Linked DNA regions of Kluyveromyces lactis. The protein of the gene in region 2 interacts with the protein of the main gene of each other region in a pairwise test. Links are inferred from orthologs where the notes say so. Each region holds a gene or a part of one and is shown on either strand. Other genes may lie near its edges. The genes, in order: MSB3 and KLLA0_C17380g.

Region 1 (15,988 bases), on a different chromosome or scaffold from region 2:
AGAATCCTAGAAGCATAGAGGTGTTTAGGGAATATCAGACTATAGTAAGATCGTAAGCCAGACACCATGGTATCCGGAGATGTTGGTAGTGCTTCGTTTTTGAACAAGCAGATGAAGATGAGAGGTTTGCAGAAGCTTCGATTCTATTGTCAGATATGTCAGAAACAATGTCGAGACGAGAATGGGTTCAAATCGCATTCTAAGTCGCCATCTCACTTGCAGAAGCTTAGTAAAGTGACTCATAAGGATATTGAAGAGTATACGGTTCAGTTTGAGAAGGATTTCCTTCGATTGCTACGGCTTATGCACGGTGAGAAGAAAGTGGAAGCTAATAAGTTCTACAATGAGTTTATTCAGGACAAAGACCATGTCCATATGAACGCTACGAGATTCACATCATTGACGCGATTTATACAACATTTAAGCCAGGGGGGGAAAGTACGGATCCATGGAATAGATGAGCTTACTAGCGATACAGACCCAGGACGGTTTATGATAAGTTATATCGACTCGTCTTCACCAAATATGATACGGAAGAAACAAATAGAGTCATTGAAACAAGCCGAACGTAGTGACCAAGAGATTAAGCTAAGGCTCTTGGAGAAACAAATCGAGAAGGCCAACGCTGAAGAAGTCAAATCGGGTCAAAAGGAAGAAGAAGAAGAAGAAGAGGAAATAAAAGCCAATATAAGAGATGGACCTATAAATCTAACAGTATCCACATCGAAGGTGACTAAGAAGAAACCGAAAAAGAAGCTCAAAAATGTTTTCAAGCCAACGAAATGAGGCACTTATATATATGTAATATTAATGGGGACCGTTCATTGAAGTATATACCGCGCTACACACGTAGCATTGCAACTTTGTTTGCGAATAATACAAGATATAACTCACGTTTGGGCCGTTCTTTCTAAAAGATGTCAAAAGAGTTTTGCTGTTCAGATTGTAGTTCTAAGTATCTCTTTTTGAATCTGTAATAGAGGAACCACGTTGTTAATATTAAAAATCCATTAGCCAATAGAATAGAGATGAAATTGATTAACCTTGTAGAACCCGAGTCTGTTTCTCCCATGTTTTTGAGCCTTTCACCAACGAAGAGATAAATAACCGCTTTTGGTGTGGTGATGATGTTAGCAATGGCAAAGTTCTTGATTGAGATTCCATAAATACCAGCTATCGCACCGTTAATGAAAGAATATGGGAACGGACAAAGTCTAATAAGAGCAATCATCCAATAGCTGTCATTACCTTGTAATACCGATGATACAGCTTCTAATTTGGGATTCATTCTGATCAATCTCTCAGCATGGGAATGCAACAATCTCTGGAATACTGTGAATGAGAGAACTGATCCAATCACAGTGGACATGGCAAGAATGAACCAACCCTTGAAGGAAAGCCCATAGATCAAACCTGTAGAGAGAGATAAAAATGAGTATCCGATCAATGGCGGGAACGAAACCGCTAATATAAGTAGCATTAGAACTAGAGGTGTGTACCATTTCTGTCTCAGATCATTAGAGGCATCCACCAACCCTTTCATTATCGCTTCCCTTTTAACTACTGTGATAAAGATTAATATGATTTCAAGGACCCCTAAAAACACCACAAGAGCCTTCTTTCGTCTGCTCAACGCATTAAACTTATCCTTGCCATTTCTTAAATGCCGTTTCCCATGTTGAACAATACGTTGCCTCCAGCTCAAGTTGTATATGTCAAGGAAGTCATCGTCCAAATCATCAAAGTTGTCGTTACTATCCAAAAAATCCGTGTCTGAAGGCCTCGACAAACCGCCAGAACTAACTCTAGCCTCGTAAAGATCAGCCATTATACTAGTATCAATTGACCTTGAGTCTTTACCGACACTAAGAGGCTTGACAACAGCATATGTTTCTCTGATTTCCAGATATACAGTGTTCAAAGTGTTAATCTCTTTGATGAATTAATTAAATGTTTTGTAATATAGTGGCGGAGTTGTGAATAATGAAGGATACGATGGAAAGAGTTGGTTTCTAACCGTCCCTGAAGTGAACTACAACCTTTCTTAGTTAGAGCAGAAGAATGCACGGAACTGGTGTTACAACCTGTGTGATCATATTGACGGTCAATATATCTAGATCACCTTTAACCGGAGACCTTATGGTCACGTGATATTCATCCTATATTGCAATAAATGATACCACCTCACAAGAGAAAACACAGAGCGATGCACTTAGAAGCACGGGCTCTCCAAGATAGCTGTCCTGTTGTTACAGATGGTTACACCCTACTAAACCCCCGATTTTGAAGTGACACGGCTGTTCAATCGCCGGTAATTCCTTGTGTCAGTTTTCCAGACGTCAAATTGAACTGAATTTAGATCCCAGCCACAAACGTTTTAATAGAGAACACGACATAAGACGTTCTCCAACCGTTCAAGGTCGAGATCTGAATCTAGATATTTAGAGAGAACGTCAGCTTCTACTGTACAGAGCTAAATCATATGAAGAGCTTATTGAATAAGCGGTTTTCGCCTAAACGTCGAAATAAACCAATCACTTACGCACCAGCTTCAGCAGCGAAACCTAAACCCAAACCCAAACCTAAACCCAAACAACTGGACCCACCAATGCAATCCGGTGAGAGCAGTAGCCAGAAAAGCAGCACTCCCATACCAATCAAGTCTATATTAAGACCTGTTGATGGCACGCACGAACATGAGAATAAATCTGTCCGCATTGTGGAATCTTCACCACATCCGGAGTCTGTTCCAATCAGCACACCAACTAGGATAATAGTAGGACCATTACCTGATGGAAATGTTAGTGACTCTTTGGTATATAATGCCAGCGATTTAGAAAAGGGTCATATCGGCGTCGCGGAGGAATCGTCACCGCTACTAGAATCACAGTTGCCTGATTTGACAACATACCAAACAATTTCCCCAGAGTCCAACCCCACTGCACAGATACATTGCTGGTCAACACCCTCGTTGCCAATTCCAATACCACCACCATCAAGCGATCAGCCATGTTCAGGCGACCCCGTGCAGTCACCCTCAATTCCCCCATCCAGGGAATCACCATTTACCAGTCCGTTAAGTCGGTTCTTGCAAATGCTATACGCAAGATATCCTGTCATCATAACTTATATCCTAATCACCATCTGTGTCATTGGGATAATATATTCTTTAGTAACAGGAACTGGTAGATCATATCTCTTGGTTATTATAAAGGCATGTATATGCTGGATAATGGGTACAGACGTGGCAAGAATGCTTTTTGGTACCCAGTTCTGTGATATTGAGTTTAAAGTGTCATGATGTTTCAGTACTGCAAGCTACACATTAAATACCATTAGCATAGCAATAAAGTTGATATAAATTGATATAATCTAACCAACAAATAGCACCAGAACCAGCCAATACACAGCACAGTCCGTTAACGGGTGATGAGCATTCTACTCGTAGTCCAGTGTCAGGAACAAAATCTTCAGCACGTGACCTCTATTTACGTATCATTTCTTTTCGAAGTGAAAAATTTGGACAAAGCGATGAGATGAGATGAGATGAACCACTGGAACTAGTCCATGAAGCAGGTCGTGTTACCGTTCTGTCAGTGTTTCTGTTCAATTGTGCATTGGATTAGACAAGTGGCAAGAGTTTACTGAGAAATATAACAATGGGTTTGAAGAAAGTTCTAGGTTCTGGTGCTGCACTGGTAGCGAAGAGACACTTGAAGTTCGATGATGATGCGGATGATTCATTCCATACAGCTGATGAGGGCAACTCTACCCTAGATGCTCTCAAACCAACAAAAGCAGAAGCGAATGGTGAAAGTGAAAGTGAGAGTGAGAGTGATAGCGATGCGCCAGAAGAAGAAGGCTTGAGTAGTGGGAAAGATGCTATAGAGAAAAGGATTCAGGAAAGAGAAGAGGCTGCAAGGTTACAAGAAGAGGCAGCTAGAGAGAAGAGACGAAAGAACGAGAAAGTGTTCAAGCAACAGCAGCTAGAGAAGAAGAAGAAGCTGCTCGAGTCTGAGGAGGAGAAACAGAGAGAAAAGATGTTAGAGTTTGAACGACAATTAGTAGCGCAGCAGGGTTCGGATAATGATGAGCCGGAAGAGTTACCACAAGAGTTCTTTGATGAGCTAGAAAGTGGATCTGCATCTTCCTTCGCAAAGGCTACGCCGAAACATATTACTTTCTCGGCAGAAGCGCAAAGAGAAGAAGAACAGGCCCTAAAAGAAGAATTACGGAAACAAAAGAAGAGATCACTAAGGGAATTGAGAAAGACCCAAATACAGAAAGGACCTGTCACTGTGAACTTGCTATCGTCGATGAAGGTATCTAAGACACTGGCTCCAAAAAAGGAAACCAGTGTCATGAAATCAAAGGATAAATGGTTGAAAAGAAGAAGTCTCAAACGTAAATAGAAGAGGATTTGTGCCCACATGTACCTATCTATTCAAATATACAGGTCTTTATACATGTGATTTGTCTCGTGTATAATGTATTATCTAAAAGAGGAGTTTCCTGATTGGCTTTAGCTATCATGAGGAGCGAAGAAAGAGATCATTAACGGGATAAAGATACCCAAGAGTAACAATCTGACATCTGGAAGTGATTCTTGTTCTATTTTCTCTTCAGTGGTAACACCTTCGCCCATCTCTAAAACAGAACCCGACACTGGGATCGGGCCATCATTCTGTAACTGTTGTTCCTGGTCCTTACTTGGTGAGATCAACGCAAGCAATGAAGCATACAATAAACTACTACCGCTCAGAACCAATAGCCCATCGCTCATTTTCTCGATTAGGTCCTTGCTGACGAATCTCATCAGGATCACGAATAGCAACCCGAACGGTGTGGATATACTGAATGCAATAAGATTAGAGATTACTTGTAGTTTGGGTAATCTCTGTTTCGAAATCATAATCCCCGTCAAGGAAAGCGTCGCAGGAATTTTATGTATAATAATGGCGATCAACATCACGAATTTCAACGAATCGTAGGATTCGGCAATCCCCAACGCCAGTCCATCAGAGAATGCATGGATTACCAACGCGAATACGATATTGTTCGTTAAGATAAATGGCACCGTCTTCCTTGGATTGATCAAATCGATATTCCTCTCAAGAGGATCAGGCGCAGCAGAAGCATCAAACGAACCACTTAAGATGTGACCAGCTTGCAGTGCATGTAAGAACCTATCTAGTCCATATAGAATCATGAATCCCAATAACAAACTGATCCCAAACCCACGGCCACCCTTATCACCGAATTTCTCGACACCTTCCGGTATCACTAGTAAACAAGAAGTACCTAACAACATACCAATACCGAAATCAGACACATACTTCAAGTACCCCATGCCAGAGTCTCCCTTCTCAGCTAGCTTACTCATGTACATCACCGGGATAAGCCCCGTTCCTAATGTCGCAAAGAATAGGAATACTGCCGAAAGTAAAGGTTCTAGCAGCTGAGACATGGTTAATCAAACGTGTATCCGTGTTCACCTCTCACTAGTGTCTATTACCGCTACCAATCTTGATTCAAATTGCAGTCCTGACGTATAACGCACACAATTAGTGCCAAAGACCAGTCATATCAACGTGTTTTGTCATTATTTACCTTATATATCAACGTTGAAAGGTTAAATCGTGCGATTTAGAATTGATGTTCGAAGTAAGAATTGGACCCTGAACATATCTCTTTATGGAAAAACATGTAGGATATAACCGGGTGCATTGTGTTAATGCCATTCTGCACGACTGTAGCAGTGGGTAGAGTGAGATTAACTGGTTGGTAAAATCTCCGTAAAGAACGCAGTGCGGAAAACAGTGACACTTTAATCTGTAGATAAAGAGAGCAACTGGTGACGCATCATTTTGTTGTAAAATTAACAATGAACCAATGGGTGAAGAAATCGATGCTTTAGACGATGGGCTGCTGACTAGGACTTATGAGCTGGGGCTGAAATGGATGCAATGTAGGGAATATTCCAAGGCGTTGGGTCTTTTCTCAAAAGCCATGAAAGTGTCACGATCGTATCCGATGGAAATGGTGGAAAATATTCGTATACGTGCTGGAATGCCCAAGAGATGTGCTTACGATGAGAGTAAGGCTTACCATCCTCTGTACGTGAAACTATTGGATAGCAGGATATCGTGTTTGATGAAAGTTGGCGACTATGCACGAGCCGTTAAGGAATCACAGTATTTCTGCAAGATTGAACCGTCTAGTACTAGGGCCTTGTTAAGGCTCGGGAAGTCGTACGAGCTGGCTGATAAGGGTGATAGGGCAAGGCAGGTATACAAGAGCGGAAGGAAACTTGTGAAAGAGTTGAAGGAACGCGGGGTTCTCGTGTCTCCGGTACATGAGAAGCTTTTCAGTGATCGGTACGAGGAATTATTGAAAAGGAACGCTATGCAGTTGGTTAATAGCAATGATGCTGAATCCGGGGCTAGGAATTCCGAACAGATACCAAGTAAGAAGCGTGTTTTAATAGAGCAGAAACTAGTTAACAATGAGGACATTGAGGAAAATGACCTTGTCTCCGATACAGATCAAGACCATGACGGTTCAACGATGAATAAGAAAATGAAACGAGCAACTATAGACCCTATCCAAACTTTCCCAACAGAACTTGTGATATCTATCATGCGGCGATTGGATACAAAGGATATCACATCATGTATGCTGGTATCCAAATTTTGGTATCGAAAACTATCGACCACTCCAATGATTATAGACTATTTAAGTGTTCCCAAGACAAATTATTCGAAGATTAATTCACTGTTAAGGTTCGTGAAAACGAAACGGTGTGTGAGCTCCGTCATTCAATATCTGAACTTCTCTGTAATGGCCACTAATGAAGAAGCTAAGTGTTCACAGTTACTGTTCAACGGATTGGACCAGGAAGTGAAGAAACTGGTCTTACAATTCACTAATTTGAATATCTTGAAGGTACTTCAATTGATCTCGGATAAGGAAAAATTGATTGCGAATCTTCAAGAGTTCTCTGTCTTTGGCCATTATGATCCTAACCATTGGGCAGATGAGGATGTTGTTTTCCTTGAACGTATCGATAATTTAAAGAAAATCGAGGTACTTATTGGGACCGCTATGGTGCCAGGTAGAAATTCTTCCATACACAGACGCAGACAATTGCAGTTTCCGAACAATGACAATATAAGTCGTTCCTTACAATCCATTAAGTTAATATTCAAAGATAATGGATGGACAGGTCCCACGCCGTTTGCTTGCATCTTTTCTTCGGACACCCTGCGGTTTGCCAATGTGTCAAAACTTATTGTTACCAACCGTGATTTCAGATTTAACCAGACTGCAGATTGGATAAAAAAGTTCCCCAACCTCACGGATCTTTGGCTAGAGCGGAACACCGGTTTGTCTTTGATGGGATTCTTACAGAGCTTGCAAGAGCCAAACGTTTTGAAGCGCTTAAAATATTTCACCTTTAGGGAAAGTTCCACTGAATCTAATAGGAGCTTCAATGGCCAAATGTGGACCGATGAACAAATCGAACCCATTCTTGCAAATCTTGGAGCGGTCCAGACTTTAGACATCATGAACTCTGCCATTGCAAGAAGTGTGCTATATAGGTTGTTAAATGAACTTCCTTCTATTAGAAAGCTAAACATCGGAAATGTATTCGAAATGTCAGATGAACTTTACCCAAGGACAGACATAGAAAGTACTGCATTTCTGTTTTTACGGCATATGACGCATCTAAGGGATCTCAGTGTACCGAATATGAGTTCTCACCAGGTTAGAGCTTTCAGGCAGTTAGCACTTGTCATATCAGAAATTGGTTCATTAAGTAGGTTGGACCTGTCGTTTAATCCTTCTATGCAAGGATATCAACTTTATGACATTATAAGAGAACTCTTTGATAATGGAATAACACTTAAAACTTTGGTTATCGATGGATGTTCTCATATATCGGCCACAACGGTCAAGGATATTGAACGTAATGGCTACGTTGAAAACATTGAGTGTGCCTTCAATAAGCAACAATGGGAAAAATTCGGTGTGAATTCATTTTGGTACCGTTAAATAATAGCATTTATACATAGTTAAATAATCACAGAGGATGAGTAAAGGCGTGCACTTCAGTCGGAGCACTTTTGTTACGCAGTATCGGGATTCTTTCGAGATGCTCTTCTTGAAACGGAGCTTTTCGTTCTTAACCTCAAGGGAGAGTTGGGATTAGATTTCACATCAGAGTGTAAAATTGAGTCATCCCTGCGGGTTCCCACAGCATGATCAAGTATCGGAGTCAGAGAATTGGATCTCGGATCGTAATCGATTCTAGAGAAACTGCTGCTCTTTGGAGGATATGGGTACGGTTTCCTTACCTGTAGATCGCCTGTGCTCGTCTTTTTGTCAAACGAAGGACGGAAATTTATCATAGAATACTTCTTCTCTGATAATGGCGAAGATGAAGACGAATATGGTAGCGATATAGAGTTATGACGCTTACCCTTTCGATTTCCGTTGGTTGCAGAGTCTGATTTGCGACGGTTGTGCGCCCTGCTTCCAAACTCATTTGAATATCTCGGAGGATTGTTTAAATCTTGTGATTTTAAGGAACCTGTTCCGTCGGGTACTACCATAAAGTTATCCAAATTATCAGCATTTAATAGCACATCATCAAATACTTGTATTGCCTTCTTTTCGCTATTAGCAAGAACTGGACTGTTAATCAAAGGAACGTCCCGATTTGAAATTTGGAAGGGATTTCCTTTGATATCTGTATTAGATATGATCTTCCCCTTTAGATAATTAATCATCTTATCTAGTTCAAATTCTTGACCACAGTGATTTTTTATGATTGATATTTTTGGCCAACTAGCACGAACACCATTAGTAGCTTCCCTTAGTAGAAATTCTTGGGTGGGATTAGATAGTAGTTCGTTGAATCGTAGTAGTGTATTCATTTCAGGAAGTATAGTGATATCACCGCTATATTGTTGTGACAACACTGATCTTAGCTTTGTCAGGACATTGGTTCCGATACCAATTTCGGTAGCAATCTCTAATGCATGTATCACTTCGCTGGCCATGTATTTGTAAACTTTCCCTAATGCCATCTTGAATCTTGCACTGAACTCATCTTCTATTTCTCCTCCTACGCAGGATACAGATAACTTCAAAAAGGGGAAGACGTGTATGTTGACCTGACATGCAATAATATGGTCAACGTTGAACATCTCAGAAAGTTTGGAAACCGGTAAATCATTGTCGACTGATCCATCGACAAACTTGACCGAACTTGAATTCCACTGTTTTGTTTCTCCGGTCTTTGGATCCTTTTCGTACAAGGGAGAAGATGGAAAAATGCCAGGCAGAGAACAAGAGGCACAAACCGCGGACCAAATCAAGACATTCGGAGATGTTAGATTGTTCAAAAGCCGCGGTTGTTCATGAACGGATGCAGGCGAGACTGTAATATTCAAAATCTTCCCGCTCCTGTTATATGCTTCCCTGAAGGTAAGGTTCCCCAAGAAATTGATCATTGTACTAACAAGATTTTTGTTGTCAAACCAAGTACCATTCTTGAAGAACCGGGAGATCTTTATAAGAAGGTTTTCACTTTCGCTCATTTCTAAGTCATCTTTAAAGATATTGAAGTCTTTTACGAGGATTTCATCCATTAAGCCCATGAGTTCATGTTCTTGTCTAGAAGCAAGAATCGAAGCAACAATTGCACCAGCACTACTGCCGCTGATTACTCGAGGAAGTAATTCTTGCTCGAAAAGCGTCACAAGGATACCGATGTGGAACAATCCAAAGGTGCCACCACCACTCAACACTAATGCGGTTCTACCTATATTCTTTCTTGTCTGTGTGAGCATCCCCAGCAAGTAAGTGTCGTCCAAATCTGAATTATAAACTAGTTCTTGTAAAGATCTAGACGATTCTGCCACGTAATCCTCAATGATATGCTTGGTTCCAACATACGAATGCCTATAAAGGTTTACATTCCCCATACCACCACGGTTCCGAACCCAAGTGGTTCTTATAAGATATAAGAGGTTAGGCCAATCCTTTGCCAAGCGCGCTTTTTTCATCGCTTCTGTGCTGGATTCGACAAGGCAATAATCATACAATACAGACTCCCGCTTTGATTTCCATTGTTCAGCATTTGTAATATCGTCTAGCTTCGTTGCCGCCGCAAGCCATTCCTGTAAAGATCTCGCATTCTGTTTCTGCTCTATGAGACGAGCTATTTGTTCATGAGTACTATCGGCTCCCCTAATAAATTTGTAAAAGCTATTGCACAGCGAGGAGAAAAAGTTCAACTGCGGTTCATCTTGTCCAGAATCATTGCGACTCTGTTCTTCTGTCATTTCGGCGCCCTTATTGGCCCTCTTGTAGTAGTTCTTAATGACATAACTAGTAATCGGGTCATCTTTAATATCAGTCACGCTGGGCGTGTTCATGACATTCGGCATTCTAAAATATAAGTAATATCCCGCTCAGCAGGTTTGTGTGTATGCAACAGAGCAAAGCGTATGTAAGCTTATTATCTGATGCTATGCTTCGTGCCCTTTATAGGTTGATTAGACCACATCAACAGAATCCTTTCAAGCAAATCAGTCATGTGGTGGTTATTAAAGTGTCATTCTTTGCTTTGTTTCCTTTGCATGTTTCCTTAAAGGTTTCAACGCCGTCAACAGTGATTGGGCATCGGTGTTACAACATCAAGCTGGTTAAAGAAGGACGATAAGGGTGTCACAATGGGTTAGTAAGGGTTCATTTATGGCTGTGCATGGTTTAATCCATGCTGGGCTATCTATACATACCGATAGATATGAGCTTTCTCGGGGCGGAATGATCTTTATGCCCTTCAATCTGAACGATTCCGATCGATTGATTTCCGAGACATAGTCTTCAACTGATTGCAACGGGTTAACGAACAGGTATGGCTCGATGATACTCCATAAGTTCAGTGTCAAGAGGTCCAATATGACGTTGACAAAATTTCTTCTGGTTATTGGGTTGTATGCAGCCTCTAAGAGTGAATTGATTCGAGTTACAATTTCAGTCCATTCCGCTTGATCCAAATAGTTTGATAATGGGCTCACTGACGTTTCGCCATACCATTGGCCTTCAAACTCTCCTGCCGGAACGAACTCCTTGTTGTGAGTATCTGGTAAGGCTGCTGGTTCAGACCCAGGTAACTGTGTGCTGAAATTAGGAAATTCTGTGGATGACTCAAACCTTCTGGGAATTCGAACGACTCTAGTGGTTCTAAATTCATCGCTTTCTTCAGGTACGTATATGTTTGGAAAATGGGTGATGCAGATTGGATTCTCAGGTCCATGCTCTTCGCATGATTCCTCATCTAGTGCTCTGTACTTTGTAATCACAAATTCATGGTAATTGAAGAATTTCGGTTGTTGTGCAGAAGTTGATTCTTCAACGGTAATCGCAGCTTTAGATAGATCTGAACTGTCTGCAGTATCTGCCAGTACCAGTGATACCATTTGTGTTGCAATGTTACCTGGTAGAATGCCGTTTCTACCTCTTATTTCCCGTATTGATCTGATATCGTTCGTGTTTTTACCCTTTTATGTAGGAATTGAAATAAATTTAACGGAATTGATATTTATGTTCAGATTAACACTAACACAAGTTAGACATCTAATGAAGAGATGTATAAGGGAGTATAAGGAACTAAACTACTACAATATCGCACATCCCACCTCCAATCATGTCTGAACTTGATTTCGTTGGTAAATTTTTGAGTTTGGCCGCTTTGAATGAGCCAAAACTTGCATCGAACTACCGCAAACCATTACATGAAGTTACAAACCTTGGTGTTTCGTTGCCCCCATTGAGGTACAAATATGATCCAAGTAAATCACATTCTAAGAGTATCTCTAAAGTTGTAGAAGTTACCATCAAATCGATCAAAGCGCCTAAATTTGTTCATTCCAAAAGCTTCGAATCTACCGATACCGTGGGTCAGATCAAGGAATTCTTAGTGGAAACCGAGCCTGAGATATATACAACTGGTCAAATCAAGTTGTTGTTAAAGGGTAAAGTCCTCCACGACACTCAATTGGTCTCCGATTTGAACCAGGATAAAATATCCCTTGTCGCAATGGTTTCCAAAGCAGAGAAACCTGTGGAAACAGCACCTTTGCCGAAACCAGCGCAGGAACCTGAACCTGAACTTGAGTTGATGGATGTCGATATGGAGGATCCACAGTTGGATCTTTCATCTCAAACAGATATTGATTTGCCTTGGGATAAAATTAGAACCGTTTTAGAGAGTAGCTTGGATGCTAGCACGGCCTCAGTGGCCCTTGGAAGGCTACAGAAAGGTTGGGAGTTGAGTAAGTAAAAGATAGAACATGTCATTTGTTGGTCCATAATGCAAAACAACCCGGTTATATATGTAGTGATTTTATACTTTTAGATATTTCTGCTCTTTCTTCCATTGGTGATGAGAGAATTACCTCTTTCTGCTCAATCTACGTACTCTTTCTTTGATGTTATTATTCCAATTTACCCCATTTAAACCCTTCTTGAATCCGTATCCTTCGTTAGAAAAGGTTTCATTGATCAGTTCCTGTGCCAATTTGGAGTCTCTCTTATTATTGGAGTTGGTGGTTTCATTCTTCATTACATCTTGGAAGTTCTTGTATTTGGCTCTTTGAGAGATAACGTACTTCTTACATCGTTCGATTTCCTCTTGATTGAGTGCATTGAATCTCAATCTCCTCTTGAAGATGGCTTTGTCTATAATATCGTTGGGGTTTATCAACCGTCTAGGGTATGTTTGAATAGCTTGGAATAATTCCATGTCTTCATCGTCTGAGTTTCGGCTGCTAACGTGATTTAATTTTGGTAAATTGGTCTCGCTTAGTTCGATGATCGCTAACGACATCTTGAAAAGAATGTGTGAACCCTCATAGAAGAGACAATCCCATATACGTAAGGTAGCTTCAATAGGTACTACTCCTATGAAACAGCTCATGAACCAACTGGCAGTACAGAGTGTGACTGGTGGCAACTTATAGAGAAATTCGTTCTTATTGGATAGGCCGGGACTGTGTTGTTGATCTTTATTGGAATATATTCTTTGCCAAAAGTGTGGCAGATACTCTTTTATGCATAGTAAAAGCACACCTTGGTTAATATTGACACCTTCCAGGTTAATACTATGCACTCCTGGTAAGTACCTAGATGTCATTATTACTAGCATCCAAAATGCACGTTCTTCATCCATGAATAATAGTAAAAGACCAACTAAGAAATTCATCGATTGACAATAACCGATCTTAGCGTTATAGATGGCGAAAGCCTTTAAGATCCTCCTTAAAGATTTTATAATTAGTGGGTCCTCGGAACTGACCTTGGATCTTTGGAAATGGATATTATCAGGGAAAGTCCGATGTAAATCTCTTTCTATAATCTCAGTATCTTTACTTGTAAAGCTTGGATCATTGATCTTAGTCAGTAATTTATCATAAACACCAATGTTTTTATTCAAAAGCTCTTGACCGCGGGCAAAATACCACCAAGCATTACCTCTCCATTCAGCTGGTATACCTTTTCGCACGTATCTCTTCAACTTTTCCGACTTTGAAGGGAATCGACTTGGAGAATCATTATCTACTGGTAAACCTGATTTTAAAAGTAGGTCTTTCCATTTCCGTTTCCTTCGAATGCAGTACTTGGAGTACTCTGACCACCATTCGTTATATTGTTTCTCTGAGATATATTGGTTCTGCTTCATGAATCCATACCTATCCAAATGTGAATCCTTCACCTTGATTGAAGCTGCATCTTCTATCAGAGACGAGTTTCCAAGCAATTGACTCGCACGAGATTCCGATTCTGGCGTGGGCAATTGACCGATCCCATTCAACGCATCTGATGACCCACTATCATCTAAATTAATGGTCTTATCCTCGGTTGCTAGTGTTAACGCTCCCTCATTCAACTCCAATTCTGATGATCCACTGTTATTCTGATTGATCTTATGTCCCTTCATCGAAACTTGACCTATCTCTTCTTCGTTCTCATCATCCAAATCGTAGTATAGATTTATCAGAGATAATCCAGCTGAGTTCTCCCTTAATATCGTGCTCTTGGGGCGTTTGCTTCCAGATATACGTTCCGAGTTAGAATTGTTTCTAACAACATTCTTCCGTAACGCAACTCCCCCGTCACTAACAGCAATTGACTGTTCACTAGTATTCAAATCACTGAATTTTCGATTCAGGTCTGGTACACTCGGCGAAAACATCGTGTGTAAACGTATTGGACCTTTATACATACGATTTGCCTGATTTTGATCCTGATTCATCTAGTTTCACCTTCGGTTTTACAGTCATGTGATGTTCTATAAACAAAAAAAATCACCAAAACAAACTGGAAAAAGTTACCTTGATGAGCTTTGAATTCAGCTACGCGTCTCAGATCTTGGTATGTTGCAACTTTGGATATTTATCTGCCCGATATGAAAACCAAACACGTCCCTTAGCACCTTGAAAGACCTATGCCTCTCTCTTGAATTTTGGTTGTAGAGTGTGAGAGCTTCAAACCTGCTAGTCATTTGATCAGAAATCCTTTAAGCAGTAATGAAAACAGATCGAGAAATCAATTTCAGTCATGCTTTTTTCACGTGATTGTCACGTGAAAGAACATTCAGTACACATTTCGTGGTTTATACCACCTAGGACATGTGTTCGCCCCCAGTGTTGGAGTCTGGTACCACATAGTGAGTCTGTGGAGGTTGTTTGTAGGTTTACTCTAATGGTAATGGTAACTACAAGTGTATGTCACGCCTTTCTTTTATACTCCACATTCATATTTGAACTTTTAGACTTAAAACCACACCTGCGATGAGCATTGAAGACTTGAAAGGAAATTAGTAAAACGGAGAGAGAAATATAAGTTAAATAACCCATTAGCTCATCTGTGTGGTACTGGAGACCGGCTGCTGATGTGTGATGTTGGATGGTGTTTAGTATCGAAGTTAATTTCACTGTTATAGATCAATATGACAGGGCGTTCCAGATGGAGATATCATTTCCCGTCAGAGGACTATTCAAGTTGTCAAGGTGTCCAATTAGACGAAGGTGTGCTAATATGGAATAAACTACCCGATAAGTTCGCCTATATCAAGTCATTAGTGTTTACAAGTAATTGTCAAGACGGCACGCCATTATATTCATCGTTTGTGGAGTTAGAGGATGAGTGTCCGTATCTTCCTATTGTGGCTTTCGATTGGAATAGTTATATCAACAACGATGGATATACAGGACCGTTCAAATACAGCATCTATTCTGTCATTTATTCTGTTACTGCCAACTTTATCATCACTGTTTTCCTAACGGTGATCGTTTTCATCAACGTTCCTACCAAACCCAGTCGTAAGGCGTCGTACATTTTGAAATTGGGTGCGTTGTTGGCATCATTAAACCTTTCCATATTTGTCATTAGAGTATGGAAGAATATTGCAGAGAATTATACTTATAATGGTTATGTGTCATCTACATCGTTTTTGAATCTTCTTTGGGGCGATAAGGTATTTGCTGGTATCGATTTAGTTGTTGTATTCTTATTGCAGATTAGCCAGGTGCAGATTGTGATGAGATTCTTTGATAGAATGCAAGAGAAGAGGATGGTTTTCTATTTTGGGTTGTTCTTAATCCTTGTGACCCAGATTTTATGGGTCATACCTACTTTGAGTCCAGTACCGACGAAGGATTCGGATTCGGATATCGATATTCTCCCGCCTTTTGTTTATTTGTTTAGGATTGCATTGTCAACCTGTTACGCAAGCGTGATCTGTTTTCATGTCCTAACTAAAAAGTCTCTCTGCTTCCGAGGGAGAATGATCTTTTTAACTCTTTTGACCATTTTTACAGTCTTCTTGCATCCCACGTTCTTCATCGTCGATGTATCAAACTTGTGGATCGATGATCTAAGTGAGATCTTTAATACTACGTGTTATTTGGCCTCC
Region 2 (16,775 bases):
TTCGGGCCCCAAGCGATGAGATAGCGCATTAATCTAAAGGTACAGAAGTCGATAAAGAGAGAATGCTCGTAGGCCGGCCTTTGATTTAATGAAGGTTCCCACATATAACCAATGAGATAGTATGCTGATATCCGGACACACTAGAGCACAAGAAACTGAATAGGTTGATAAGACATTGAGTTGAGTCGGACAATGTTATAAAAAGGTTGGACTTAACATTAGAAACAGCACTGGAATCAGAATTTGAGATGCCCTTAGTTAAGAATAGTATATACTACCAAAAATCAAGCAAAAGCATAACTCAGTAAATATGGCAGTCATGGAAGCTCCGCTGCCACAAGGCGCAGGTTATGCAGTTGTTGTAGGATTGGGTTTTGTCTTCGCTTTTGCAATGATTTTGACCACATATGTGCTAAGACGTTATCAAAAGGAAATTATCACTGCTGAAGAGTTCGCTACTGCCGGTAGATCAGTTAAGACTGGTTTAATTGCTGCCGCTGTTGTCAGTTCATGGACCTGGGCAGCCACTTTGTTGCAATCTACAACCATGGTTTATAAAGTCGGTATCTCTGGTGGCTATTTCTATGCTGCAGGCGCAGGGTACCAAGTCATCTTATTCAGTGCATTGGCAATTAAATGTAAGCAAAGGGCGCCAAATGCACACACTTATTTGGAAATTATCAAGGCCAGATACGGGACCATTGGGCATTTTTGTTACATGTTTTATGCTTTAGCGACTAACGTTTTGGTCACTGCGATGCTTTTGACCGGTGGTTCTGCAGTTGTGTCAGATTTAACGGGGATGCACACTGTCGCCGCATGTTTCTTATTGCCAGTTGGTGTCGTATTGTATACGATCTTCGGTGGTATAAAAGCTACGTTCTTGACCGATTATGTTCATACGATCGTTATCATTGTAATTATCATGATTTTCGCATTCACAGTTTACGCCACGAATAGCCAACTTGGGTCTCCGAAGGCAGTGTACGATCTAGTTAGAGAAGCAGCCAAAGCACATCCAATCGAGGGTAATGCTGGTGGTGAGTATTTGACAATGAGATCTCGTTCTGGTGGTATCTTCTTTGTTATAAACATTGTCGGTAACTTCGGTACCGTTTTCTTGGATGCTGGTTACTGGAATAAAGCTATTTCTTCATCCCCGGCAGCAGCTTTACCAGGTTACGTTCTTGGTGGGCTATCCTGGATCGCTATTCCAAATTTAATTTCCCTTGCTATGGGTTTGGCCTGTGTGGCATTGGAATCTTCTCCAAACTTCCCAACTTATCCAGAAAGGCTAACTGCAGAGCAAGTTAGTGCTGGTCTTGTGCTGCCAACTGCGGCTGTTACATTATTGGGTAAAGGTGGTGCTGTCGCTTCGTTGTTATTGGTTTTCATGGCTGTTACAAGTGCCATGTCAGCTGAATTGATTGCCGTCTCATCTATCTTCACTTACGATATTTACAGATCTTATTTGAAACCAAAGGCCACAGGTAAACAATTAATATTCTCCTCTCACATCAGTTGTATCGTATTTGGTTTAATTATGAGTGGTTTCGCTACCGGTTTGTATTACGCAGGAATCAGTATGGGTTATCTTTACGAGTTAATGGGTATCATTATTTCATCTGCAGTGATCCCTTGTGCGCTATCATTGTTTTGGGATGCCCAAAACTTAGTAGCAGTGGTAGCATCGCCAATTATCGGAACAAGTCTTGCAATTATGTCCTGGTTAGTATGCACCAAATCCTTATACGGTGAAATCACCGTCAGTACCACTTTTGAAGATGATCCAATGCTAACTGGTAACATTGTTGCTCTATTATCACCATTGATTACGATACCATTGTTGACTTACATCTTCAAACCACAAAATTTCGACTGGGAGATCCTTAAGACCATTACCAGAGCTGATGAAGAAGAAGAGTTACTTGAAGCCGAGGGAAACGAAGTCTCTGTCTCTGATTCTGACAGTGTTGGTAACAATCAAGATGCCGAGAAATTGCAAGCTGTGAAAACCGTGATAACAACTGTAGACGAAATCCCAAGAGAAACCATTGAAAGAATGGCTGAAGAAGAGAGTCAGTATCTAAGCAGAGCTAGTAAGATTGCTGGATATTTGGCCATCTTTTTCGCTATTTCATTTATGGTCCTATGGCCAATGCCAATGTATGGTACCGGATACATCTTCTCTGAAAAGTTCTTTACCGGTTGGGTCTGTGTCCTAATCATTTGGATCTTCTTCACTGCATTCTGTGTGTGCTGTTACCCACTATGGGAAGGAAGACACGGCATATATACCACGGTAAGAGGTATATACTGGGATCTATCGGGTCAAACCTACAAATTAAGGGAATGGCAAGATGCTAACCCACGGGAAATGAAAGCTGTGCAATCTCAAATCATAGCAAAGATCGAATCAATCAGATCGGAAACTAACAAAAGTAAAGTGAGGCAAAACTTGGACGATGTTATCGAACGTTGATGGAAGTCATCACCTTATAGTTTTTCTCATATAGTCATCCATAAACCATCTTAATTCTTTTAATTATGATAATAACTCTTAAAGACATCAATGGCCAGGGTAAAACGGGGTCACAGTAACCTTAACAGAAACCCATAAGGCATACAGACCAGCCATGGAGTAAACCACCGCTATTCATAAGCTTTACAAGAAGTGAAGTACTCTTCACTTACGTTTAAGTCAACGGTTCTCAAATATGATTGGCCGGATATTTCAAATGTCCGGGTAATACTGTTGATCTTTTCCCTCAAAATTTTCATTGAATTGAACCAAACATGAAGAGATATCGAACTAAAGCATCAAGTCAAGAGTCAATTGATAGAAGATTACAAGGTCTCACACTTCTAGCTTGGTTGGTTTAGTGTATTCAATAGATAAAAGTCGAGCAGCAATGATTTCCAGAGTCCAATCTTTAGTTTCTTCTTTGACACACAAGACACAATCACTGTTGACCAAGACCGTTTACTACGGTAAGGTTACTGCTGAATTATCCAAGCAGGTCTACACTAAGGAAGGTCTACAGCCACCAAACTTCTCGGACTTTGAAATGGTCTACACCAGATTGTACAGACAAGCTTTGGGTTATGCTGATAAGCCTCAACAAGTTGTTAACTTGTTGAAGAACATTGAAAAGGACCAAGCCGTTAAGATCGGTGCTTTCGGCGTGCAATTGTTAGGTTTATACTCATTGGGTGAAATTATCGGTAGAAGAAAGGTTGTTGGTTACCGTAACTACTCTACTCACCACTAAAAATGGAATTGATTGAGAGGCCGACCGTATCAATTTTAAAAGCATATTCAGTAACATACGAACGAAATTTTAACAACTACAAACAACACTATATTCATTTCCAGCCAAGAAAAAAACAACCTAAAAATAAAGCGACTTTTACTCTGGTTTCCCAGATGAAGTGTTAAAAGACTATATATATGTATCGTCTATATGTAATATACATACGGATTCTGCGACGCTTTAATTATATGTATATCATCATGACTTAATTCGAACATTTGATATTGGAAATAAGCAACAGGGGTTATCCTGAGGTTAGGTCGAATCGTTGCCAGCTTCTTCCTCGGCATCCGATACAGAGAGTTTCCGTTTCTTTGAAGCTTCGATCATTTCTCTTCTTTGTCTCTTTTTTTGTTTTACAACCTTAGGAACAGTACTGATTTGTTTCCTCTCCACATGACCCTTACCCTTTTTCAATGATTCCTTCTCTCTTTTGGACATGGAAGAAATCTTTTGCATCCACTCTGAGACTTCACATCCACTTTGCTTCATCACGTTTATTATTGGTTTAATTGCCAAAGAATCTTGTTTCGTGTAAAAAGTAATGGCTTTACCGGATCTACCACCTCTACCTGTTCTACCGATTCTATGCACATACGCCTGAGCTGATCTAGGAACATCATAATTGATGACCAGATTCACACCTTTGAAGTCGACACCACGAGCCAACACATCGGTACAGATCAAACACCAAAGGTCTCCAGACTTGAATCTTTCGATAATTTTATCTCTTTGAACTTGAGTTCTTTCGGCATGGATCACGTCCACATTCAACTTGTCATATAGCAATTCATGGAACAATGCCTTGGCTCTTGTAATAGATTCCAAAAAGATGATTACTGGAGGTTTGAATTCACCTTCAAGAACCAATTGCCTGATGGCTATAAGTTTACCTTCCTCGTTACCACAGAATACTAATTGTTGATCAATGTTGATATTTGCTGCTTCTTTGTGACCGATAATGACTCTGATAGGATCGTTCATGATGGTTTGGGCGATTTCCTCCACGTTGGATGGTATAGTGGCAGAGAACATTGTTTTACGGAGATGTGGATCAGTACATGAACTCAAGATATCATCAGTTTGTTCCACAAATGTCTTGTCGAATAATTTATCCGCTTCATCAAATATTAAATGTTTCACTTTACCCAAATTCAAGGCTTCTTCCTGAACCACAGTAATCAATCTCAAGGGAGTAGAAATGATAATATCGTACTTGTCCTCACTGATAACTTTATTCTTTAATTTTGAGCTTAATGATTTTGAAAGTAGGGCAACTTGCAGAGGTCTTTTCTTGTCCAAGTATATCTTGTTCGCTAATTTGGAACATTCGATGAAGATCTGGTTCGCAAGTTCTTTTGTTGGGGATATAATTAAACCTTTAAGACCAACTGTGGTTTTATCGTTGATTATCTGTTGCAGTAGTGGGATCAAAAATGCCAACGTTTTACCAGAACCTGTGGGAGCACAAGCGATCATGTCACGTTCATGCAACAAAATCGGTATAGATTCACTTTGAATCGGAGTTGGTTCAGTGAAGTTATTTTCTATGAGGTTGTTTAACAATCTCTTATCGAATTGGAACCTTGTGATCAAGTCTTCAAAAGAACCGATGGGCAAAGGAACACTATTCCCTGAAACATTCCCTTGATAAGATTTACGTAACTTTAACGCATCTTGTTTCGTGATAATTTTCCCGGATAACTCAGTCTCGTCATCAGCATGATCTTCGTCTTCTTCTTGATTATCTTCTTGTACTTCGTCTTCACCTTCACCTTTGGTTGACTCAGACTTTACCTTATTCATGATTTTCTTATTACGGAAAAAATCCAACTCCTTAGTCAATTGTTGTTCATCTCTAGCTGGTGTACTTGAGCTGCCAGCTGTCTTACTCTTCTTTTCATTAGCCATGCTAAAGTCTGCAGACTGTGTTCTATTAGAATCACCATTCTTCCTTATGCTAGCTCCACGAGTCAAGACTCTAAAGATATCCATGTTAATTAGCGGTGCTAGTATTGGCCTGTGAGAAGTTACTTAGTAATGAGAATAAATTCGATAGTAAACCACTGTGAGTGATATAATCAATCTCTTACTACTCTCTCATCTCATCTCATCTCATCTCATCGCCTACATCTAATTGCAGTTTTTTCAATTAAAATTGATCTTACTGAAGCGTTTCTTTTCACAAAACTTAGGGTACAATAAGTGTAAAAATCGATATAAAAGTACTTCTCAAGGCATAAAGATGCAGCAAAGCTTACTTTAAGATACAGCTGGTATTAAGCCCTCATAATACCAGCCCATAATGACCATATTCCCTTGATAACAGTACCTAATGCCTTGATATTGCATGTATTCCCATCATACAAGATAGCACTTAGACACAGCGATGACCTCGTTTGGAGTGATCTGAAAAATTTTGAAAAATTTCAAAATTTGGATCGCTGCCTCGAGTCGAAAAACTACAAAGAAACAGTTTGAATCGTAGTTAAAAGGACTAAACTGTTAGAATTAAGATTCAATAATTCTAATATTTGTGTCCTGTGTAATTACAATCTGTTGATATTCGGTCGAGGAAGATTGAATTGTGAAAATACCAGACAGAAACCATTCAGACAGTATTTTTTTACTTCTGGAATAATGTCCTTAACCAAAATTGGTCTTAACTTAAGCACAAAATTCGGCGTGCGTAATGGTTCTTATCTACACGTTGGGACTAGGGTACGTGGTTTGAAAAGAGACCCAGTTGAGTCTTTGAAGAATCCACACGGTTTGCACTATGATTCTCTTGTCAAGGATGGCCATGTATCTACTGTTAAGCAAGGTTTGAATTTGGAAAAATATGGTATTGACTTGCCAGACGACATCATTACACAATGTTTGACTCACAAGTCGTTTGCCCAAGGTATTAAACCATACAATCAGAAATTGTCTATTATCGGTGGTCATTTTGTGAAATATCAAGCTTGTCTTCATTCCTTGGGTCTACCTGTTTCTGAAAGGCAACTATCACAAAGCGTACAGTCTGAACCTGTTATTAACGGACTAAATTTCGGTATGCTTGGGAAGGGAAGTTCTAAAATGTTAATATCCAAACAGAGTACGGCTGAATTTTTGCAAAGGAGAAACCTAGATAAATTAGTGTTTTGGAACAAACGAGACACTCAAAAAAGTCACAAATATAACGGTGAGTATACCGTGCTACAAACTGTGCTAAATTCTGTGGTCGGCAGTGTCTATCTATTGCACGGTCAAGACAAGGCCACCGAATACGTGTTGCATGAACTATTCAGCGACAATAGTGATTCCCTAACGAAGATATCTGAAAGTTTGTTAGCAAACAGGGATACGACCGAGAAGTTATAATATTATGTCTAATTTTACACGACAGGAAAGAAAGAGAAATGGAATACACAATAGACTTCGACATCAATAAAAAGCACTCGAGTGAATGGTCTCCATCGGAGTTGGGAAAGAGCTTTCAAAACTTGTATATATATATTTCGAAACGGAAGTTTCAATCACAGCTCTTGGTCAATGTGGTGTTTTAATCTACTCTTTCATCCCTGCTCAATTTCAACGTTTTATTATAATGAATTTACCAAAAGCATGAAAAGCATAACCTTTTAACGACACTCCATCGTCACACTTCAATTAAAAATGAACCTCGAAAGAAACGCGCGCACTGTATATATCTCATGTATCTCTAGAAATATAGACGTACATAAATTTACAACTAAATCTATCATTAATTAAATGTTAACATACAAAATAAAAACAGATTAAGAAAAGTACATAATACAATACATGTATATAAATACATATATAACTTCATAGAAGGGATGTTTTTTGCTGGTAATTTACTTGGAAAGCTTAGCATTTAAATACTCAATGTTGGTCTTAAGACTAGCTTCTTCCACAGTCTTTACCAATTCTTTGGTACACTTTGCTACATCAAATGCAATACCAGCTAAACGTTGTTTGAAATGCTTATCTGCGAACTCTTCGTCCCCCTCGTGCGCTACTACAATACCGTCTGGTTTAAGATGACAAAGTATGGTCATTCTACGACGACAGTCATCTAAACTCTGAACAACCCATGAACCATGTTCTTTCAATTGAGAATTACGGCTTTGGTTCATGGAAACACTTGTAGCTTCCACCATTTGCCTTATTACTTGATTGATAGCATTTGATTCGGTTCTTAGTTCTCCAGCAGTGGATTTAGGTAACTTAATACTGCTCAATAACGATTGAATTGTGTTTATAACATCCATTGTCTGATATTCTAGGTATAGCAATAAGTCAGAAAGACTATTGTCAGGATTTTCAATGTCAAACGCATCAACGTCAAATTCAATGTCGTCGTCAGTTTCACCAGTTTCTGATTGTTCTGCGATTTCTTTAGTTTCTGACTCGCTTTTGTTGGCATCGACGGCCTTCTGATCGTCATTAACTTTTGAATTATCAGAAGCAGTTACTATAGGCCTTAATGGAGAAATAACCAATTCGGCAGTAGGTGATGGGGATGGCTCTTTTTGTTTCAAAGTTGGAGTAACGGCAGGGATAGGAACGAGTTTTATATTCTTTTTGTTTACAGTTATCGAAGGTACAGATTCAGATTCAGATTTAGCATTTTCTTCAGATTCAAAATTGAATGACTTCTCATTTAAGTCGACATCCTCTGTTGAAACTTCAATAGGTTGTGGATGTACCACTGGCGAAAAAATTCCTTTCAAATTTTTTTCTTCGTTGGTTCCGTTTTCTTCTTGTAGATGCTTTTGCTTCATGGTTTGTCTTAACACTTCATATGTAGAATTCCCATCGTCCTCCTCCTCTACACTTTCGCTTTCAGTTTCTTCATCATTGCTGTTGTATATGTCAGAATTAATATTTTGCAATAGCTTTCCCTTTTCTGGAGATGATAACTCAAAAGGATTTGGGTCTTTAAAGTCAGAAGGAACAACTGCTGATGATTTTTTGGCAAGTGGCGAAGTAGGTAGAAGTGAATTGCTGGCTGAAGCAGACTTAATTGCATCAATGGTCTTCAATTCTCTGCGTTCGATTATAGGAGCATTGCTTTCCGATTTGGAATTGTTATCCAGAGGTAATTCTAACTGCAATATATTCTTGGATTTCTTTGATGCGTTATCTTTCTTCATACCCCCATTAAGCATTGCTGTAAATAAGCCAGTTCCAGAGGGCTTTCTAACTGAAACAGGCCTTGATGACGCGTCGTCGGTATTTTTTTTCTGGGTAATTTTCAAAGGTTTGACCGGAGACATTTCAACGCTATCAGCCCGAGAAGGAAGAAGTGATGGTTTGTCTAAAACACTTCCCTCGTGTAAACCTTTAGCAAAGTTATTCGAGGTTTGTCTATTTTGCATGGAGAGGCCAAGTGGACTATCCAGTTGATCACCAGATTTATTTGATGTGAATATTTCATCGTTATTGGATCCGCCATTTACCGTCTTAACCAAATCATAGATTGCAAATGAGATTTCTGAAACAGAATTTTCAAGAATAACTCTTGATAATGGAGTTTTATAGCTGCTGAAGTAACGCACAGATGTGATAGCATGTGATATTGTGTTCTCTAACACTAGTCTCATGGTCTTTGTATCTGGGGAGTGAACTAAAGTTAAAATTTTTGAACAATATTCTGAAATGGAAGCAATGTTCTCGAATAAAAACAAAACTGGAGGTTCAGGTGACACAATGAGGCTTAGTATTTGTGATAACTTGGAATCCAAGTCGTCGATGAGATTTGACGGTATTATACTAGTTTCAGGGAAAAGTTGCTTGTTTGAAATGGGGGCCATAGAAGAAGAGCTTGTTCTGACAGGTTTTTCAGCAAAAGCGTCTTCATACTTTGATTTCCAATAGGCAGCATCCTTCCCTGATTTACCGTCAATCGATTTAACTGGAGACTGTATATTTTTCAATTGCAGCTGAAGTTCTAGTTTTTCTTGTTTGAGTTCTTCGTTTTCTATTGACAGTTGATTTAGTTGAGTAGTCATTTCGGACATTCCCTTTTGGAAATTACTATCTAGAGCTTTAGTAGTACTTGATTGGTCGGCATTCTGTTTCAATTGCTGAACTTCTTCTGTTAATCGTTGATTATTGGTCTTCAATTCATCTAATTGATTCAAAAGTTCTGATTTTTCTCTCTCCAAAGTTGTAATGGTACTGTCCAACTTATTCCCTTCCAGAACTAATAGCTCTATATCACGATCTTTGTTACGTTCTACCGATTGAGACAAGGATCCCATTTTATTTTTATTACTGGTGAAAGGCGACAACCCAGCACTTGCAGCCATTGCTGTAGTGGCAGCAGTTTGAGCCAATGGAGTTCTAGCCTCACTGGATTGTGATAACGGTCTCTCTGAGAACGTGAAATGGTCATCTATGGAAATCGGACTTCTATTTCCCACAGGTGAGGAAGCTGTAGGTTGAGGTGGGCTTTGTGTTTCATCTGGAATAATGACCGGGGACTGATTTAGTGAAAACGCTCTATCTATCTTAATAACGTCATTGTCTTCACTAGCTAATTCCTTCTCATCAGCTTCTGGTTTGTGATCCTCTTCATCTGAACTCCAGTCGATTGATGCTGTCTTTGGAATGACTGTAGAAGTCTGCAAAGTTGCATTAAGTGCAGAATTCTCATCTTCTGGTAATTTTTCCACCGACGTATTATTTATACTGCTAGGTACAATTGGCGATGGCTTAGAATCAAGTACGTGTAATGCAGGAGAGGAGACCTCTGCCTTGTCATTCGAATTAAAATCTTCATCAGTATCAGCATTTGGGAATTCCTGATAATCTGCTTCTTCTGGTTCAGGTAACGTGTCAAACCCACGTCTTCTGATTTCGAAAAGAATATCATCGACCAAATCATTAAATCTCGCATTGGATAAGTTCGCCAATTTTTGTCTTGCCTGGTTCCTCTTTGCATGGAAACTTTCATTAGGAACTAAATAGTCATGTTGTGGCTGTGATTCATCAATTCGTCTTTGCAATTCGTCGCTGACGTCAGTACTCAACTCGAAAAACTGTGACGAAGAAAGTTTTAACAGCTTTGAACGTGCTTTCTGAGCACGCGATGTCATTGATCTATCATGGCTACCACCGGTAACCTCAAAGAATTGTTTTAAAGCAACATAATAATTATGGATCTGCACTTTTTGTGCATATTTCAGTTCCTTAGCACCCTCTTTCATTTGGAACGGTAAAATGAAAACAAATTATCAAACAATGGTCAATTAAGAACACGTATTAATGTCAATTGCAATTGTCACTGAGGACACTCGTTTCAAGTATAATGGTCAAAAAAGGGAAGTGAAATCGAAGAAACCAGTGTGTCTGTAAATAACTCAATTCGATACTTTCCCAAGTTTAAATAATTGACGGCCTTCTCCTTTTAAGACTTGTATCGTCTTTACCAAACCGCTACCGCTGATTCACAACAACTCGCACTTATTTCGTAATGATGAATACTTGATTCTATACAATTGACTTTCTTTCATGAAGAAGAGTTAATCCACTGTTTAATTCGAATTGAAACAAGATTCTAATTCCAATATTTCAATTTCCATACCTAAGAACTCATCGTTTTTTCAGCCAAAAGAAAAAAAGCGTTCTTACTACACCTCGTTCTTCGTGATAACGCGTAATTTTATTGAAAGTTTGGCGTTTTCTTTCACGTGATGAGAAGAAAAGAGAATCGATAAAAAAAATAAAAAAGAAATGCTGCTTCTGTGGATCGAACACAGGACCTTATGAACTTCAGTCATACGCTCTCCCAACTGAGCTAAAGCAGCGATTTCTGTTGGAAATACAACTCTTCGGATACCAATACCTTGGTGATTTGGGCAAAATGTATGCTAAGCATCGCACTTACGAAAGCATTGCAACAATGAGTGTGAGCAATTATAGTATAGCATTGAATTATACTAGAATATACATGCATATTATTAGGTTTTGTTTTAGTATATCTTTTTCTATTATATACATCAAACTTTTCTTGGTAGTCGTCCGATTGTCAGTAGACCTTTCAAGAGTTCCGGAATCGTGACGTGTAAATGCAATTCACCATCGTCGTGACCTGTCTTTGCAACCATGGCGAGCTTGTCACGAGCTATTAGATACCCACGAATCATCCATAGGAAAAATGCAGCTCCGAAATATCCCATACCGGAGAAAATGGCTGTATTCACGTATTGGTTGGCAACTGTTGGATCGTTACTACGTAGTCTTAGACCAATGATTGGGGAAACAATGGACATCATGCCGATACAAGGCCAGGTGAAAGAATAAATGGCTGGTAACTTGTTAAGACCACCGATTCTGGAAATGATACTTGTTTGTAATGGCCAGATACTACCCATTAATGCACCGGATAGGAGCCCGAATGCAATGGCAGTGGCAAGATTTCTGCATGGGATCCACATGGCAAGACATATGATACCAACAATAGCATGAACTATGATCCCCACAGTTACAGGCCCGTATTTATCAGCAACATGACCAACAGCTGGTCGAAAGACAAATCCACCAACACTGATCATGCAAGAGACAATGGAACCTTGTTTCTGTGAGTAACCTAGGGATACGGCGAAGGCACTAAGTGAATATAATAGTACAACGTATCCCAACATTGTGCAACTCACGTAAAAAATCAAGAACCATACAGCAGCGTTCTTCAGTAGGGATAACTCAAAAAATTTGGGCATTTCCTTAGCCGTTTCACGCACAACGTTATCTCTTGTTCTAATTAATAATAGAGCAACGGTACTTAACACAGAATTGATAATACATTGAGAGATCAATGCCCATTTCAATGACTTCACTTCGACAATCCTTTGCATTGCCAAATTGAAAAGAATACCACCTAATCCTGAGCCTGACGCACCGATCCCAAGAGCCAACGTCCTTTTTCTTCTAAACCATGGAGAGATGATGTTAGTTGCCGGAATAGAAATGAATGCTAACCCAAACGATACCAATAAACCCTGTGTCAAAAACACTTGCCATAATTTTGTCGCAAATGCACATAGCAACAACGCAGCACCTTGCAAAACAATCCCAACAGCAATGGATGTTTTCACACTGGTCTTAATCACAAAATAATTAATTAATGGTGCAAATATTAACCCAGCACCAAAAGCTAACCCACCAATAGCAGCAAAATCCAATTTCGTAGCTCCTGGGAATCGATTACTTTCTAGATAATATGACAAATAAATGGCAAACCCAGAATTGGAACCCCACGTACAAAAGTTAAGGAAAAAGTAACACATACAAACAACCCAGCCGTATCCACCGTCCGGAATTTGAATCTTGTTATAATCCACGGATTCATTATATTTTTCTGTTTCATTCACCATAGCTTCTTCCTGATAAAATGCTGCATCTTTCTCTCTGCTCTTCTGGTCGCTAACTTCCAGATCTTTTTCTACCATCCTATCTCTCTCAAATAAAAAAACAAAAACCCTATCGAAGAAGTACACAAATACTACAGTTCATACCCTTGCTAACGCTCGTTCGAATATTGAACTTCTCTTTGGTGCTTCGATACCTTCCTTTTTCTTGGCTAACTTTAACCTTTAAGCTTGATTTTACATGCAAGTTTGTTTACTAGCCGTATGTGATGGGCATCGTACAATGAATTTCGACCATTTTATATAGGCCGAAAGGGAAAAAAAAAAAAGTTTTAGCAACCAAGTAATGAGTTTGGAGATCTACATAGTTCCGTTGGAGTTCCATATAGCTCCGAATCGACAAAATCTGCATATTTTGCTGCTGCAGATACTGCAAGGTATATGTGCTTTTACTAGCATCGCTTTCCTGTTTTCAGTTGGATATCATGCGCTGAGTCACAATTCTTTGTCTGGCTGTTACTAAGAAGATGCGGCCGAATGCGTCATAAGCGGCAACAAACTGGTATGAGTCAAAAGAAGTAGTTAAGATAAGCATGTATGTGTATTTCATAACGTCAAAAATAAATAAATAAGTTATTAGAGGTGGGTTAACATCCTGCATAAAGTGTGTAATGTCATCTTTTTCGTGTTTTTGGTGAAGTTCGATGGTATAGCTCGGATAAGCCGATACTAAGGGAAAGAAAAAGAAAGAGATAGAGAGATAATACGAATGATATGATACTTTATGATATGAAAAAAAAATGATAATGTTGAGATAGACAGGGTGAATAATAATAAAATGAAGAATGTGTGTTGGTATTTTTTTTTTCGTTAAAGGGTTTTTATGGTTTTGGTTTTTCTAGTATACTACTACTAGTATCTTCTCAATCAATCTTTTTCTTAATTGTATTTGATGATATCAAATCTTTGAAATCTTAGGGAATATTTGAATGGTCTCTAAGAGCAGATGTGAAAGTGCAAAAAACGATGGATAAAAGAAGAGTTAGAAATAAATAATATGGGGGGGTTGTAAGTGGGAGGGAAATTTGTGCTTTGTTTTTGATGTTGATTGAACCAAAAGAAGAGAAGAGGTCAAATTTATACTTGAAAAATTTGATCTATTCAGTTCTTAGCCTTCTTGGCGTTAGCCAATCTGTTCAAAGCAGAACCGGCCTTGAACCATTCGATTTGTTCAGCGTTGAAAGTGTGAGACAATGGGGTTTCCCAAGCTTCACCTTCCTTTGGATGAACTCTCATGATCAAGTTCTTACCTGGAGCTAGAGTAGTCAAACCCAAGATGTCGATGGTGTCATCTGGGTTGATCTTGTCGTAAGCAGCTGGTTCAGCAAAGTTCAAAGGCAACATACCTTGTTTCTTCAAGTTAGTTTCGTGAATTCTTGCGAAGGATTTGGTAATAATAGCGAAACCACCCAAGAATCTTGGTTCCAAGGCAGCGTGTTCACGAGAAGAACCTTCACCGAAGTTTTCACCACCAATGACAACCCATCTGATACCTGCATCTCTGTAAGCTCTAGCAGTGTCTGGAACACCGGCGTATTCACCAGTGTAGTGGTGCTTGACACAGTTAGCCTTCTTGTTTTCAGCGTTAATAGCACCAATCATATAGTTGTTTGAAATGTTTTCCAAATGACCTCTGTACTTCAACCATGGACCAGCCATAGAGATATGGTCAGTGGTGGTCTTACCTAGAGATTTGATCAAGATTGGCATATCGAAAGCATCCTTACCATCCCAAGCCTTGAAAGGTTTCAACAATTGTAGACGGTCAGACGTTGGAGAAACTTGGACAGTAACGGAAGAACGGTCCTTTGGTGGAGCTTGGTAAGTGTTTTCACCTGGGTCGTAACCCTTAACTGGCAAACCAACACCAGTTGGTGGTTTCAACATGAATTCGTTACCGTCCTTGTCCTTCAAAGTGTCGGTTAGAGGGTTAAATCTCAAATCACCAGCAATGGCGAAAGCGGTAGTGATTTCTGGAGAGGCAACGAAGGAGTGAGTATCTGGGTTACCATCGTTTCTAGCAGTGAAGTTTCTGTTGAAAGAGGAAACAATGGTGTTCTTGTCACCCTTCTTGATATCTTGTCTGTCCCATTGACCGATACATGGACCACAAGCGTTAGCCAAAACGGTACCACCGAATTCTTTGAAAGTTTCCAATTGACCATCTCTAGCGATGGTAGCTCTGATTTGTTCAGAACCTGGAGTCACAGTGAAGATAGACTTAGATTTTAGACCGTGGGTAGCAGCATCCTTAACGACGGAAGCAGCTCTGGACATATCTTCGTAAGAAGAGTTGGTACAAGAACCGATAAGACCGACTTTAACTTCTAGAGGCCAGTTGTTCTTGACAGCGACATCCTTCATCTTAGAGATTGGAGTAGCCAAATCTGGAGTGAATGGACCATTGACATATGGTTCCAAAGTGTTCAAATCGATTTCGATGATTTCATCGTACTCAGCACCTTCATCAGCGGACAACAAATCCTTGTGGTACAATTGAGCGAATTGAGCAATCTTGTCTCTACCAGTAGCATCCAAATAGTCAATCATAGACTTGTTGAATGGGAAAACGGATGTAGTGGCACCGATTTCAGCACCCATATTACAGATGGTACCCATACCAGTAGCACTGAAAGTGTCAACACCGTCACCGAAATATTCAACAATCTTACCAGTACCACCTTTGACGGTAGTGATACCAGCCAACTTTAGAATAATATCCTTTGGAGAAGTCCAACCGTTCATTCTACCGGTCAACTTAACACCCATAATCTTTGGAGCCTTCAATTCCCATGCCAAATCGGACATGACATCGACAGCATCAGCACCACCAACACCAATAGCCAATTGACCTAGACCACCAGCATTTGGAGTATGCGAATCGGTACCAATAATCAAAGCACCTGGGAAAGCATAGTTTTCCAAAACGATTTGATGGATAATACCGGAACCTGGCTTCCAGAAACCCATATTATATTTAGCAGTAGCAGTAGCCAAGAAATCGTAAACTTCCTTGTTGATATCAATGGCTCTCTTCAAATCCTTTTCACCACCAATTTGAGCTTGAATCAAATGGTCACAGTGAACAGTCAATGGCTTAGCAACTTGAGGTAAACCTGCTGACATGAATTGCAAGATAGCCATTTGAGCGGTAGCATCTTGACAAGCAACACGATCTGGTCTCAATTTCAAATAAGAAACACCTCTTTCGATTTCTTGACCATGAGGATCATCCAAATGACCGTACAAAATCTTTTCTGCGTATGTCAATGGACGTCCTAGTCTTTCTCTGACGATATTGACATACTCAATGTTTTGTTTATAGTTAATGAAGGAATGGTCTTCCAACAAATTTTGATGAACTTTAGAGTCTCTAGTCATAGTACTAGAGACTCCGGTAGCCAAGTGTCTGATGACTCCTTGTCTAACGACTCCTTGCTTCTTCAAGGCAACACGAGCAGACAACATTATCTCAGTGCAGTTTAAGCGGGGTTTAATCCTTGATAGATGTAATACTATTAAAAACTGAAAATACTAAAAAAAAACCGCTGAACCTAATAAATACAGAAACAAATTGAATAACTCCAAGGAAAAGAAGAATCTAACAAACCGATAATGCTATATTATATATATAATGCCAAAATCTTCAACACATTTAGCCAGTATTAATTAAAAAACTAAAAATTACATCACGGTATAATGCTTTGCCCACTGTTTTTACAGTCATCATTTGATCCATTTGATCATTCACTGAGGGATTGAAACAGGAAAGCCTGTAAAAAATAATGAAACCAGAATAAACCAGAGAGGGAGAAAAAAAAAAAAAATTTCAAAAGCTGTTAAAGCCAAATGATGGTTCTAAGCTGTAGTAGCGAGCGGTAGAAGTGCCAGTAGCGGACGAGTCGAAACGACTGAATAAATGGAGTTTTAAAGGGGAATAAAGGATAGGAAATGAAAGGGCGCGGGGGTTTCTGCGCAGCGCGGTTAAAGGGTGGTGAGATACTTAGAATGGTACGTACGG

What was found.
Region 1: the proteins of KLLA0_C17380g (region 2) and MSB3 interact in a two-hybrid assay, tested with the Saccharomyces cerevisiae proteins (2 studies listed by BioGRID). The link is inferred for Kluyveromyces lactis from reciprocal best matches to the Saccharomyces cerevisiae genes SPA2 and MSB3.

Annotation. Positions count from the first base shown.
Region 1 is NC_006037.1:671,536-687,523, reverse strand, and holds MSB3 (Rab GTPase-activating protein MSB3), read right to left. Parts: upstream 14,327-15,988; coding exon 12,467-14,326; downstream 1-12,466. Other genes in the region: RTS2 (Rts2p), read left to right, coding at 67-786; TVP38 (Tvp38p), read right to left, coding at 911-1,828; KLLA0_A07645g (uncharacterized protein), read left to right, coding at 2,483-3,301; BUD21 (Bud21p), read left to right, coding at 3,660-4,412; Mn(2+) transporter ATX2, read right to left, coding at 4,523-5,467; DNA-binding SCF ubiquitin ligase subunit DIA2, read left to right, coding at 5,893-8,055; TGL4 (triacylglycerol lipase), read right to left, coding at 8,130-10,457; SHR5 (Shr5p), read right to left, coding at 10,716-11,492; MDY2 (Mdy2p), read left to right, coding at 11,720-12,355; RIM21 (Rim21p), read left to right, coding at 15,023-15,988. UniProt on the Saccharomyces cerevisiae protein: Regulates exocytosis by functioning as a GAP for SEC4. Stimulates specifically the GTPase activity of YPT6. Also required for efficient polarization of the actin patches.
Region 2 is NC_006039.1:1,518,475-1,535,249, reverse strand, and holds KLLA0_C17380g (uncharacterized protein), read right to left. Parts: upstream 10,535-16,775; coding exon 7,175-10,534; downstream 1-7,174. Other genes in the region: DUR3 (Dur3p), read left to right, coding at 311-2,482; ATP20 (F1F0 ATP synthase subunit g), read left to right, coding at 2,913-3,272; RNA-dependent ATPase ROK1, read right to left, coding at 3,570-5,309; MRPL15 (mitochondrial 54S ribosomal protein mL57), read left to right, coding at 5,955-6,680; KLLA0_C17336g (MCT family MFS transporter), read right to left, coding at 11,327-12,775; aconitate hydratase ACO1, read right to left, coding at 13,856-16,222. UniProt on the Saccharomyces cerevisiae protein: Involved in pheromone-induced morphogenesis and efficient mating, perhaps as a cytoskeletal protein.